2 linked regions of the Canis lupus familiaris genome follow. Each later gene encodes a partner of the first gene's protein in a complex. Links are inferred from orthologs where the notes say so. Each region holds a gene or a part of one and is shown in the gene's direction. Other genes may lie near its edges.

The links. Proteins that work in one complex are often made in the same cells at the same time.
Region 2: CIAO1 (region 1) and CIAO2A share a complex: the UniProt entries of both Homo sapiens proteins name them as parts of the CIA complex. The link is inferred for Canis lupus familiaris from reciprocal best matches to the Homo sapiens genes CIAO1 and CIAO2A.

What each region holds. Positions count from the first base shown.
Region 1 is NC_049238.1:34,685,309-34,690,149, reverse strand, and holds the start of CIAO1 (probable cytosolic iron-sulfur protein assembly protein CIAO1), read left to right. Parts: upstream 1-1,745; 5' UTR 1,746-1,923; coding exon 1,924-2,062; intron 2,063-2,631; coding exon 2,632-2,780; intron 2,781-2,933; coding exon 2,934-3,045; intron 3,046-3,152; coding exon 3,153-3,241; intron 3,242-3,483; coding exon 3,484-3,685; intron 3,686-4,304; coding exon 4,305-4,392; intron 4,393-4,841. Other genes in the region: TMEM127 (transmembrane protein 127), read right to left, coding at 692-935. UniProt on the Homo sapiens protein: Key component of the cytosolic iron-sulfur protein assembly (CIA) complex, a multiprotein complex that mediates the incorporation of iron-sulfur cluster into extramitochondrial Fe/S proteins.
Region 2 is NC_049251.1:29,006,264-29,010,840, reverse strand, and holds the start of CIAO2A (cytosolic iron-sulfur assembly component 2A), read left to right. Parts: upstream 1-1,441; 5' UTR 1,442-1,615; coding exon 1,616-1,745; intron 1,746-4,577. UniProt on the Homo sapiens protein: Component of the cytosolic iron-sulfur protein assembly (CIA) complex, a multiprotein complex that mediates the incorporation of iron-sulfur cluster into extramitochondrial Fe/S proteins.

The sequences.
Region 1 (4,841 bases):
TCTGGTTATTGAAAATGCCAGACTTCCCTTTTCTCTAGCAACAACCCAATTATAGCAGAACTCCAAAATATCTTTTTTTTAAAATATTTTATTTATTTATTCATGAGAGACACACACACAGAGAGAGAGAGGCAGAGACAAAGGCAGAGGGAGAAGCAGGCTCCATGCAGGGAGCCGAATGTGGGACTCGATTCCAGGACTCAGGATCATGCCCTGGGCCGAAGGCAGGCGCTAAACTGCCGAGCCACCCAGGGATCTCCCAAAATATCTTTTAAAATCTAGCCACATTAAAAGTTCTCTTCCTCCCTCCATCAGGCTGCCCAAAGAAACCTTCCTATATCCCATACGCTCCTTAGAAGGAGGACAGCTAATTGTGATGCCTAGCACCCTTATCTGTTCCCCACATACCGCTGTATAGCGCCCTTCCTCCAGCAGTATCCTAAAATAGCAGCAGTCCATATTAGCATGGCGTGAGAAGTAGGTGCCTGGCTGAATAACATCAGAATTAATGAGGGGCCAGACCCCAAAGAGAGCCACCTGGTGGGCATGAACACCAGGCAGGAATGGGGTTGTTTCCTTCAAGCCAAGAGCCTGCCGCCGGCTATCTCTGCTCCAGCCCGCACCACATTCTGCTATCAGCAAGGAGGCCCTATCGCTCAGAAAGAAGAGGGCCGGCGCGCAACGCCCTCACCTTTCAGCAGGTCCGGGTGCACGTAGCCCAGCACGTCGGAGACCCCCAGCTCCTGGCGGGAACAGGTGCCACCGTGGATGTGCAGCCAGGCAGGCTCGGCGAGGGCAGTGCACAGCGCCGTGATGGACAGGGCACCCGGCAGAGCCGAGGCCAGGCTACGCTCCGGCTGCTTGGGCAGAGCGCTGCCTCCCGGGCTCCTCCGCCGGCGCCCGCCGGGCAGCCCTGCGCCTCCGGGGGCGTACATGCCCGGGGCCGCCCGCCGTCGCTCCGCGGTCGCTGCTGGTCGCCGCGGACCTCCGCAGGGCGCGCTGAGCCTGCCTGTCCCGGGGAGGAGAGCAAGGCGCTGGGTTCACAGAAGGGGAGGCCGACACAACGCTGTCAGGGCCCACACGGGAGGATAGAGGGTGGGACCTGGGGCCCAGCACAGAAAGGAGGGCTGCAGGGAGTCGGGGGGGGGGCGGGGATGGGGTCCCTGGAATGGGGCTGCGGAGGTTCGGAATAGGGACCCGGAGAGGGCTGCGAGCCGGCCAGGATGGGGGCAGAACGGACTGGGGGTGCTGGTACCGGCTACTGATGCGAGAGAGACCCAGGTCCGCGATCTCGGCCAAAGAGTGCCCAGGGGTCGGGGGCCAGGCTGGGCCGCGGGGATCGGGGATCCGGGATCTGGGAACAGTGCTCTGGGGTGCGACCTCTGGCCAGAAAGGACCTTCCCCCACACCGACCCCTGTTCCTCACCGGTCAGTAGGCCTCAGGGCCGGTATGGCGCCGCTCCGCTCCGTCACGGGTTCCGCAGCTGCCTGGGGCAGGGCGATCCCAGGCCCTAAACCCGCAACGCCCGGGCCGACCCGGGCCCGATCCACTTCCGGCTTCCTTCACCTCTGCCTCCGCCTCCTCCGGCTCCCCGCCCCGTCCCCCGCGCGCGTCACAGCCTGGGCGCGCCGCCGATTCCCCGCGCAGGGCCTCACGGGACTGGTAGTTCGAGGCTGTCCCACGGTACTGGCTGCCGGCGGGGTGGAGGGTGGGTTGGCAAATTGACTACAACTCCCAGAGGGCAGCACGGTCGCAGCCGCGGGCACTTCAGTTCCCAGGAAGACCCGGGCCCTCGGGCGGAAATCGGCGGAGACTGAAGGCCGTCCGAGGCCTGAGTGGGCGTCGCGGAGGTTTGCACTGCCGGACTCGCCGTCGGCGCGGTCGCCTCTGTCCACCTCCTCCGCATCCTGCTGGGGGCCGCCATGAAGGACTCGCTGGTGCTGCTAGGCCGCGTCCCGGCGCACCCGGACTCCCGGTGCTGGTTCTTGGCCTGGAACCCCACGGGAACCCTGCTGGCGTCGTGCGGTGGTGACCGTAGAGTCCGCATCTGGGGCACCGAAGGTCAGGCCCAGTCTGGCTGCACCACCCCTGCTGCCGGGGCTTCAGCGTGCGCGTGCTGTGCGTGCTGGGCTCGGGGAGTCCGCGGCCTTTGGGACAAGCCCACCCTGAATGAGGTTACAGGCCAGGGGGCTAAGTGAGAAGCTGCCTTGAGTTAGACGTTATTCACTGTAGGAGAGACTTTGTGGGTGAAGGAGTTGGCGAGTAGAGGAAGCAAAAACGTCAGTAGGCCAGAACTGTTGAGGAAGTTATGATACTTGCTGAGGCCGGAAAAGGAGGGAAGGGTGGAGGGAATGTAATCTGCAGAGTAATTTGTGACCCAATGTGAAGTTTAAATTTTATCCTGAGGGCATTTGGGAGCCATTGACAGTTTTAAATAAGGTAGGTGACTCCTCTGGTGGTTTTAGAACGATGCCTGCAGGGGAGGTGGAGGAAGTAGTAGTTACAGCTTTCCGAAAGCAAGCTTTTAAATGCACCGACCAGATAATCCCCCCATTGCCCATCGGATTGATAGTGCTTCTCTACCTTCTTGTGCACCCAGCTCCAGAGCTTGGCCTGTCCTTTGCTCTTAGGTGACAGCTGGATCTGCAAATCTGTCCTTTCCGAAGGCCACCAGCGTACCGTGCGGAAGGTGGCCTGGTCCCCGTGTGGCAATTACCTGGCCTCTGCCAGTTTCGATGCTACCACTTGCATTTGGAAAAAGAACCAGGATGACTTTGAGGTAACCAGGGTGGATGGGAGCAGGATTGTTGCCTTTTTGCTCCCCAGGGCTGGTTCAGGAACCTGAGCCAACCTGGGCTAGCTGGGCTGTACCCATGCAAAGAACACCAGAGATCTTAGTTGCTTGATTCTTGTTCCTCTTCTCTTTTCACAGTGTGTAACTACTCTAGAGGGCCATGAAAATGAGGTCAAGTCAGTGGCCTGGGCCCCTTCTGGCAACCTTCTTGCCACCTGCAGCCGAGATAAGAGTGTGTGGGTCTGGGAAGGTGAGTCTAAATCCATCTCGATGGAGTTGGGAACCAGTAAACAGCCATCCCCCTCTGTGTCCCTGACGAGGTCAGCTCATGGGCTCCTTTCTTTTTCTTTCCCGTAGTTGATGAAGAAGATGAGTATGAATGTGTCAGCGTCCTCAACTCTCACACACAGGATGTCAAGCATGTGGTTTGGCACCCAAGCCAGGAGGTAAGAGTGGGGTGAAGTTATCTTAGTGGGAAGGAATTTTGGTGTGGAGAGTTGTACCCAGCCTTTCTCTGCTCTTCAGCCTCAACCTGGCTTCTATGGGGATCTCTGTCTGTGATGAAAAAATGTTATTAATCCCTTTATAGAGACAGATCTCTGGGACTGTCCTAGCTGGGAGAGGCACTGGTACTATAGGCACTTCCTGAGCCCTATAGACAAGTGCTGTGTTCCCTTCCTTCCCCCAGCTGTTAGCCTCTGCCAGCTATGATGATACAGTAAAGCTCTACCGGGAGGAAGAGGATGATTGGGTATGTTGTGCCACCCTTGAAGGCCATGAATCCACTGTGTGGAGCTTGGCCTTTGACCCCAGTGGCCAGCGCTTGGCATCTTGCAGTGATGACCGTACTGTGCGTATCTGGCGCCAGTATCTACCAGACAACGAGCAAGGTGAGTGGCCAGTCCAAGACCTAAAGGAGACTCCTCTCTCATGAGGTTTACGGTGTATTAAGGGTCTAAGACCTAGAGATAAATCACAGCAAACTGGAGTAGTAAGAGAGATGTGCCACGAGAGGGCTCCCAAGCGAGTGCTGGCGGAATCAAGGATGGCTGTGTGGAAAAGGAGCCATTCCATCTGAACTTGAAAGTGTGTATAGGATTTTAACGCGAGAAGATAATTCTGGGTTGAAACAGACCAGCACGAGCAAAGGCATTGAAGGTGCAAAAGCCTAGATTTATGCCAGGAATCATGATCCCTTTAGTTGGAGCATAGGATATAAAGGATTTGGGGAGTAATAAGGTGGGTCAGGTGGCTGGGTGGGCTGGTTGGTGGCCTTAAAAGGCAGGCTAACTAGTCAGACATAGTCTGCTGGAAAGTTTTTAAGGAACAGGACCTTTCCTTCTTAGAATTCTGCTGTAAAAATCCCTGTCTGACCACAGTATGTAAGGCAGATCAGTAAGGATGAGGACTCATGACTGAAGATAGGGGTGAGGGAGGGCAGATTAGCAGCTCCTCCCGAGGTCCCCCGGACACAGACCTGTCTTCGGCTCAGAGAAGTCTGTTGTACAGGGGTGGCATGCAGCGGCTCTGACCCAAGCTGGAAATGTATCTGCACTTTGTCGGGCTTCCACTCCAGGACCATTTACGACGTTGCTTGGTAAGACCTCCATCCCCACACCCACCTGTTTGGAGAGCTTTTAGAGAAGACAAAACCCTGTGCTCCTACCACCTTTAGGAACACATGGAAACAGAGAGCAGCCCCCTTCATTTCTTCAGATTAGGCAGACTGTGTACCATGCTGGCCTAGGGCTGGCCAGCCTGAGGGTCCCAGGAGCAGGGAACAGACTTACAGAACCGGGTCTGTACCTACTTTAAGATCACAGGCTGTGACAGCAGCATCAGCCTTGTGTGTGTGTGTTTGGGGGGGTGTCACACCATCTCGTACATCCAAAGTTATTGTAGAAATTGGGTTCATGGTTGGGATTTTTATGGGTTGGTAACCCTGACTCTACCCTTATGGAGTCTAGAGAAGCCGTACCATTCATAAAGGAGTGGTCAGAGGGCAATTCTGGCCCTAGGAATCTATCCATAGGAAATAATCCAAAC
Region 2 (4,577 bases), on another chromosome or scaffold:
GAAAGCTCCTCTACGTGCCCCCTACCTATGCCACGCACGGTGCTCTCTCATTGAGATTCAGTAAGTGGTTTTGATTGAGGTCTTTCCAAAAGGCGGCGGTAAAGTTTCATTCACTTTATTCTTTGGACAACATCTAGTTATTAGTTCATTCAAGAAACATATATTAAGCACCTACTGTTTGCGTTGGAAATACAGAAATAAAGAAGCTCCTGACCCACGAGGCACTTGATGGAGACACACACGTTAAATGAACAAATGCAACGGTGTTCGGTGCTGTAATCTGCTCTGGGCGCAGTGAAAGAGGGTATCAGTTACGCTTGGAGATGCAGGGAGGCCTCAGAGCAGGGGACATCTCGGCGTCCTAAATTTGGCTACAAGTAAGTCGGTGTTATATCCTCTTAGTTGCCGTGGAGTGGAGTGGGACAGATGGCAGGGAAATTCTTAAAACCCTGAACACAATTTCCCTGGGGCGTAAACTATTCCCTTGTTAACCTGGTGAGCCTAAAGTCTAAATCAGCCAGACAATAAACAAAACTTTATAAAGATAAACGGGATATGTTAGCATGGGGGTAATTCTGCAAAATGATCCTTCTCAATAGAGATGGCATTTGGTAGCAAAGTCTGGTTTGTTTCTAATCGCAAATCACTCAACTTCAGGGATTGGCTCCCTCCCAGGTCTATGAGCTGTTGGAGGGCAGAGGCCGCCTCCTATCTTTGTATTCTCGGCGTCTATAAATACACCACGTCTGGGAAAGTAAGTGCCCAATAAACGTTTGAGACTCGGAGGGAGGGGTAGGTAAAACTAACATCATCCACCTTGTTCCTGGCATTCATCACAGCCACGACCACCAGAGGACTTAAGACATTCTTTTTAGGATGATGATCTATTTGCAGTATGTCACTACTGGATATGCTGGGCCCAGGGAGAGCTCTTTCATTCTAAGTTGTCTCTGAAGGCGAATGGCAGGATCTTCAGGTGGCCGTTGGGGAATTGTGCTGACCTCCGTTCCTCTGAAACGGGAAAAATCAAAAAGCCCTCCCCGGCCCGGCACCTAATCACCTAATCAACCTCCTTGGACTCCCAACACCTTCCGTTTCACGGCAACGGAAACTCACTTCCGGCGTGACTAGGAAGTAAGAAGCGGCTCCCTCAGAGAAGTAACCGTAGACTCTTTGTACACGCTCCTCCAGCAAAAGAAATCAAGATCTCCTTTCCCCTACCTCTTGAGGATTCATTTTCAGCTCATCGGGGGCGCTGAATGAGGCAAACAGTGGCAGGTAACAGTTACCTATCGCCTCTTCCCCGACCTAGACTACAAATCCCAGAATACATCTCTGTCCCATATGTCCCAGCACGCAATGCACCTCACGTGCTGAAAGGAGTTCTCCCCGCCTTGTCCCGCCAAAACTGAGCAAAGCATGCTGGGGCTTGTAGTCTTTGCGGGGCCCTTCCCTAGGTCCTCCGCGCTGCTCCGGTCAGGTCCCGCCTATCTTCTGCTCCCCGGGATCTTTAGGCTTGTCTCGGCCCTTTTGAAGACCAGGAAGTTGATAAATTGCGAGGCCCGCTGCTGAGAGACGGTGGCTCGGGTGGGACAGTCGCCAGGGATGGCGGAGCATGAGGATGGAGCGGGTGTCCGGGCTGCTCTCCTGGACGCTGAGCAGAGTACTGTGGCTCTCCGGCCTCTTTGAGCGGGGAGCTGCCCGGCAGCCCCGGATCATGGAAGAGAAAGCGCTAGAGGTTTATGGTAATTAATTTTACCCAGGGCAGCGTTTGGCGTTGTACGTGGAGATGGGGGGTAACGGGAGCCTCACCAGAGGGCTGGGGGTGGAGACCGGTTTTTGCTGGGTCTCGTCCGAAGCCTGGGAAGCCTTTTCTCCGGGGTCCTGAGTCACGCAGGAATGTGGATCTAAGACCTGGGCTCTTCCTAAACCTGGCGTTAGCCGAGGCTGGAGGTCTTAATCACTTCATTTCCCTTGACGGCCTTACGCCCTTCTGACCTTGTCAAGACTTCTGGGCAGAGCAGGCGGTTAGGGTGCTTGGTTAGGAAGCAGAGCTGGCCTGATGGCACTGCTTGTCTCCTCCCTTGTGGTCCCTAGCCCCTAGACTCGCATTCCTTCTGCCACCACCGAGAGCACTGCTGGGGACTGGCCTAAGGTCATAGCCGCTCTCTTGGGGAAAAAAAAAAAAAAAGAGGATTCTCCCCCTCCAAAAGCCCCCGAGAGAAGAGGACAAAATGGGTTTCCCGTACCCCGGCCTAGACTTTATAGTTTCTTATCACTGCCAAGCCTGGAGTGCATAAACGAATACACACACACACACACACACACACACAGAGTCACGTATTTTTTTTAAACCCCTGGGACCATCTTCATTGTACACATGAGGAAACAGAAGGTTAGAATGGCCAAGCAACCACCCAGAGGTCACTCTGCCAGTAAAGAAAAAGCAAAAACCAAAGCCCGTGTCTTCTGATTCCAAATTTCGTGCACTTTACACCATTTCACAATTGCCTTATGACTCCTTGTTTTTGGACTTGTGTAGTACTGTTTTTGAAGGCTAAAAAGACTGGCTCTAACTAATGTTCAGTGATTCCTGCTGACTGAGGGTGAAAGATCTAACTATAAGGATACAAATAAAATGTGGGGAAGGATTATGGGCCAGTAGAAGGAGGCCAGGGTTAGAAAAGACCTTTGGAGCCAATCTAACTTACTCCTCTCTTGCTAGAGGCGGGACCTAACCCCAGCTAGATGATTATGAGTGTAATGATCTCTACAAAACTGACATATTCCTGTCCTATCAGACTTCTGTCTATAGCACCTCAGGACAGAAGGGCACTTGGGGGATACAGCTTTGGAAGGGGGATGATTCTTGTCCTAAAGTTTAATACCGGTGGAGACCTATACATGCAGAAATGTACTTTTTAAAACAATTTTATGTAGTAGAAGTCCATCAACCTGAAAAAGAAATCCGGAAATTCAGAGGAAGGTGAGATAGTAATCTCTGAGTCGGGGATCTGGAAAGACTTTATGGAGGAGTCACTTGAGTTAGGCCTTGAAGCGTAAGTAGGCTCTGGATATAAGGGGGGTAGAAAGTGTACTAAGCAGAGAAAAGGAAGCAAAAGTATGGAGATGACAACGTGTTAGGGAATGGCGGGGCCCCAGGATAGAGTTTGTGGTTAAAGAGTGGAAATGTGATTAAAAAAAATTGTTTTAGATACCAGGTCAGGATTGGATACTGAAGGTGTAAATGTATAAAGTATGTCAGTGCAGAACTATAGGAGAATTTTCATCAGGGGAGTAATGTGAGAAGAGCAACATTGCTTTCTTTCTAAAGAAATAAATCCAGATCTCTCAAATCAATAGAAAACCAGAGAAGTTTAATAAGGGATGAGACTTAATTTCAGCTTTAGGTAGCATATAAAGTGTATAATGCAGCTTGTGTGAATGAGCCTTAAAGAGAAAATGCCTAAAATGAGGGGCAATACATTTCTTTTTTAAAAGCTGTGTTTCTCTGAGCCTCGTGGGTGACAGAGCCTTGTGAAGAAGCAGCTTTGTCTTTTTTTTTTTTTTTCCTGTCTTCATTTTCAAATTCTGTGGCTAATCAAGTGATAAGCCTAGGAGTTAGTTGTTGGGGGAGAAGGTGGAGCTTGACTTGTTTCTCCTAGTAGCATTTCTGATTACAGGGGTGCTATCGGTAATAGAACAAAACCTTAGGCTTAAGACATCACGCCCATCCTGTGTGAACTCCCTGTGCTCTCCTTTCTACCTCCCCATTTCTCTGTTGTTTCCCCTTTCCCATCTTTTTCTACAACCTCAGAGGAGGAAGGAAATCTTGTCCTCTCTAAGGGGGACGACCCAGGCTCCCACATCCTTGGTCTCATTCCCTTCTGCTTATTTTGCCAGTCCCCCATCCTCCCTCCTATATTTTCACTCTTACTTCCTCTATTTGATCTTTCCCTTTGGGCTCTAAAACATGTTTCAGTTTCCCTTACCCTTGTCATCATTGTTCTAGCTTTGTCTAAATCCGTTATCCATCCTTTGCCCTCTCCCTTCCTTGCCAGAGCCTAGGACTGCATTTTCAGTTCCTGCTTACTTCCGCATTTGCAAGCTGGCTTCTGCCTTCATCTCTCTACTGAAACTGCTTTCTTACAGGTAATTTTCTGGGTGACAAATCCAAAGACTCATTTCAGCTCTCATCAACTTGGATTTTTCTGCTGCATTTAATGTTATTAATATCCCCACACCTCCATCTCTGCTTCTGGCTTTTCTTTCTCCTTCTGATCCCTAAGTTAGGTGCTTTCCATCAATCTATCCTTGGGTCTCTCCTTTTACATTAGTGGTTCTGAGATTGAGCTGCCCATAAGAGCAACCTGAAGAATTTTTTAAAAAGCTCAATGCCCAGTCCCTACTAGGAATCAATTAAATCAAGATCTTTGGGGGTTGGGTTTAGACATCAGTTTTTTTTTTTTAATTTTTATTTATTTATGATAGTCACAGAGAGAGAGAGAGAGAGAGAGAGAGAGAGGGGCAGAGACACAGGCAGAGGGAGAAGCAGGCTCCATGCACCGGGAGCCCGA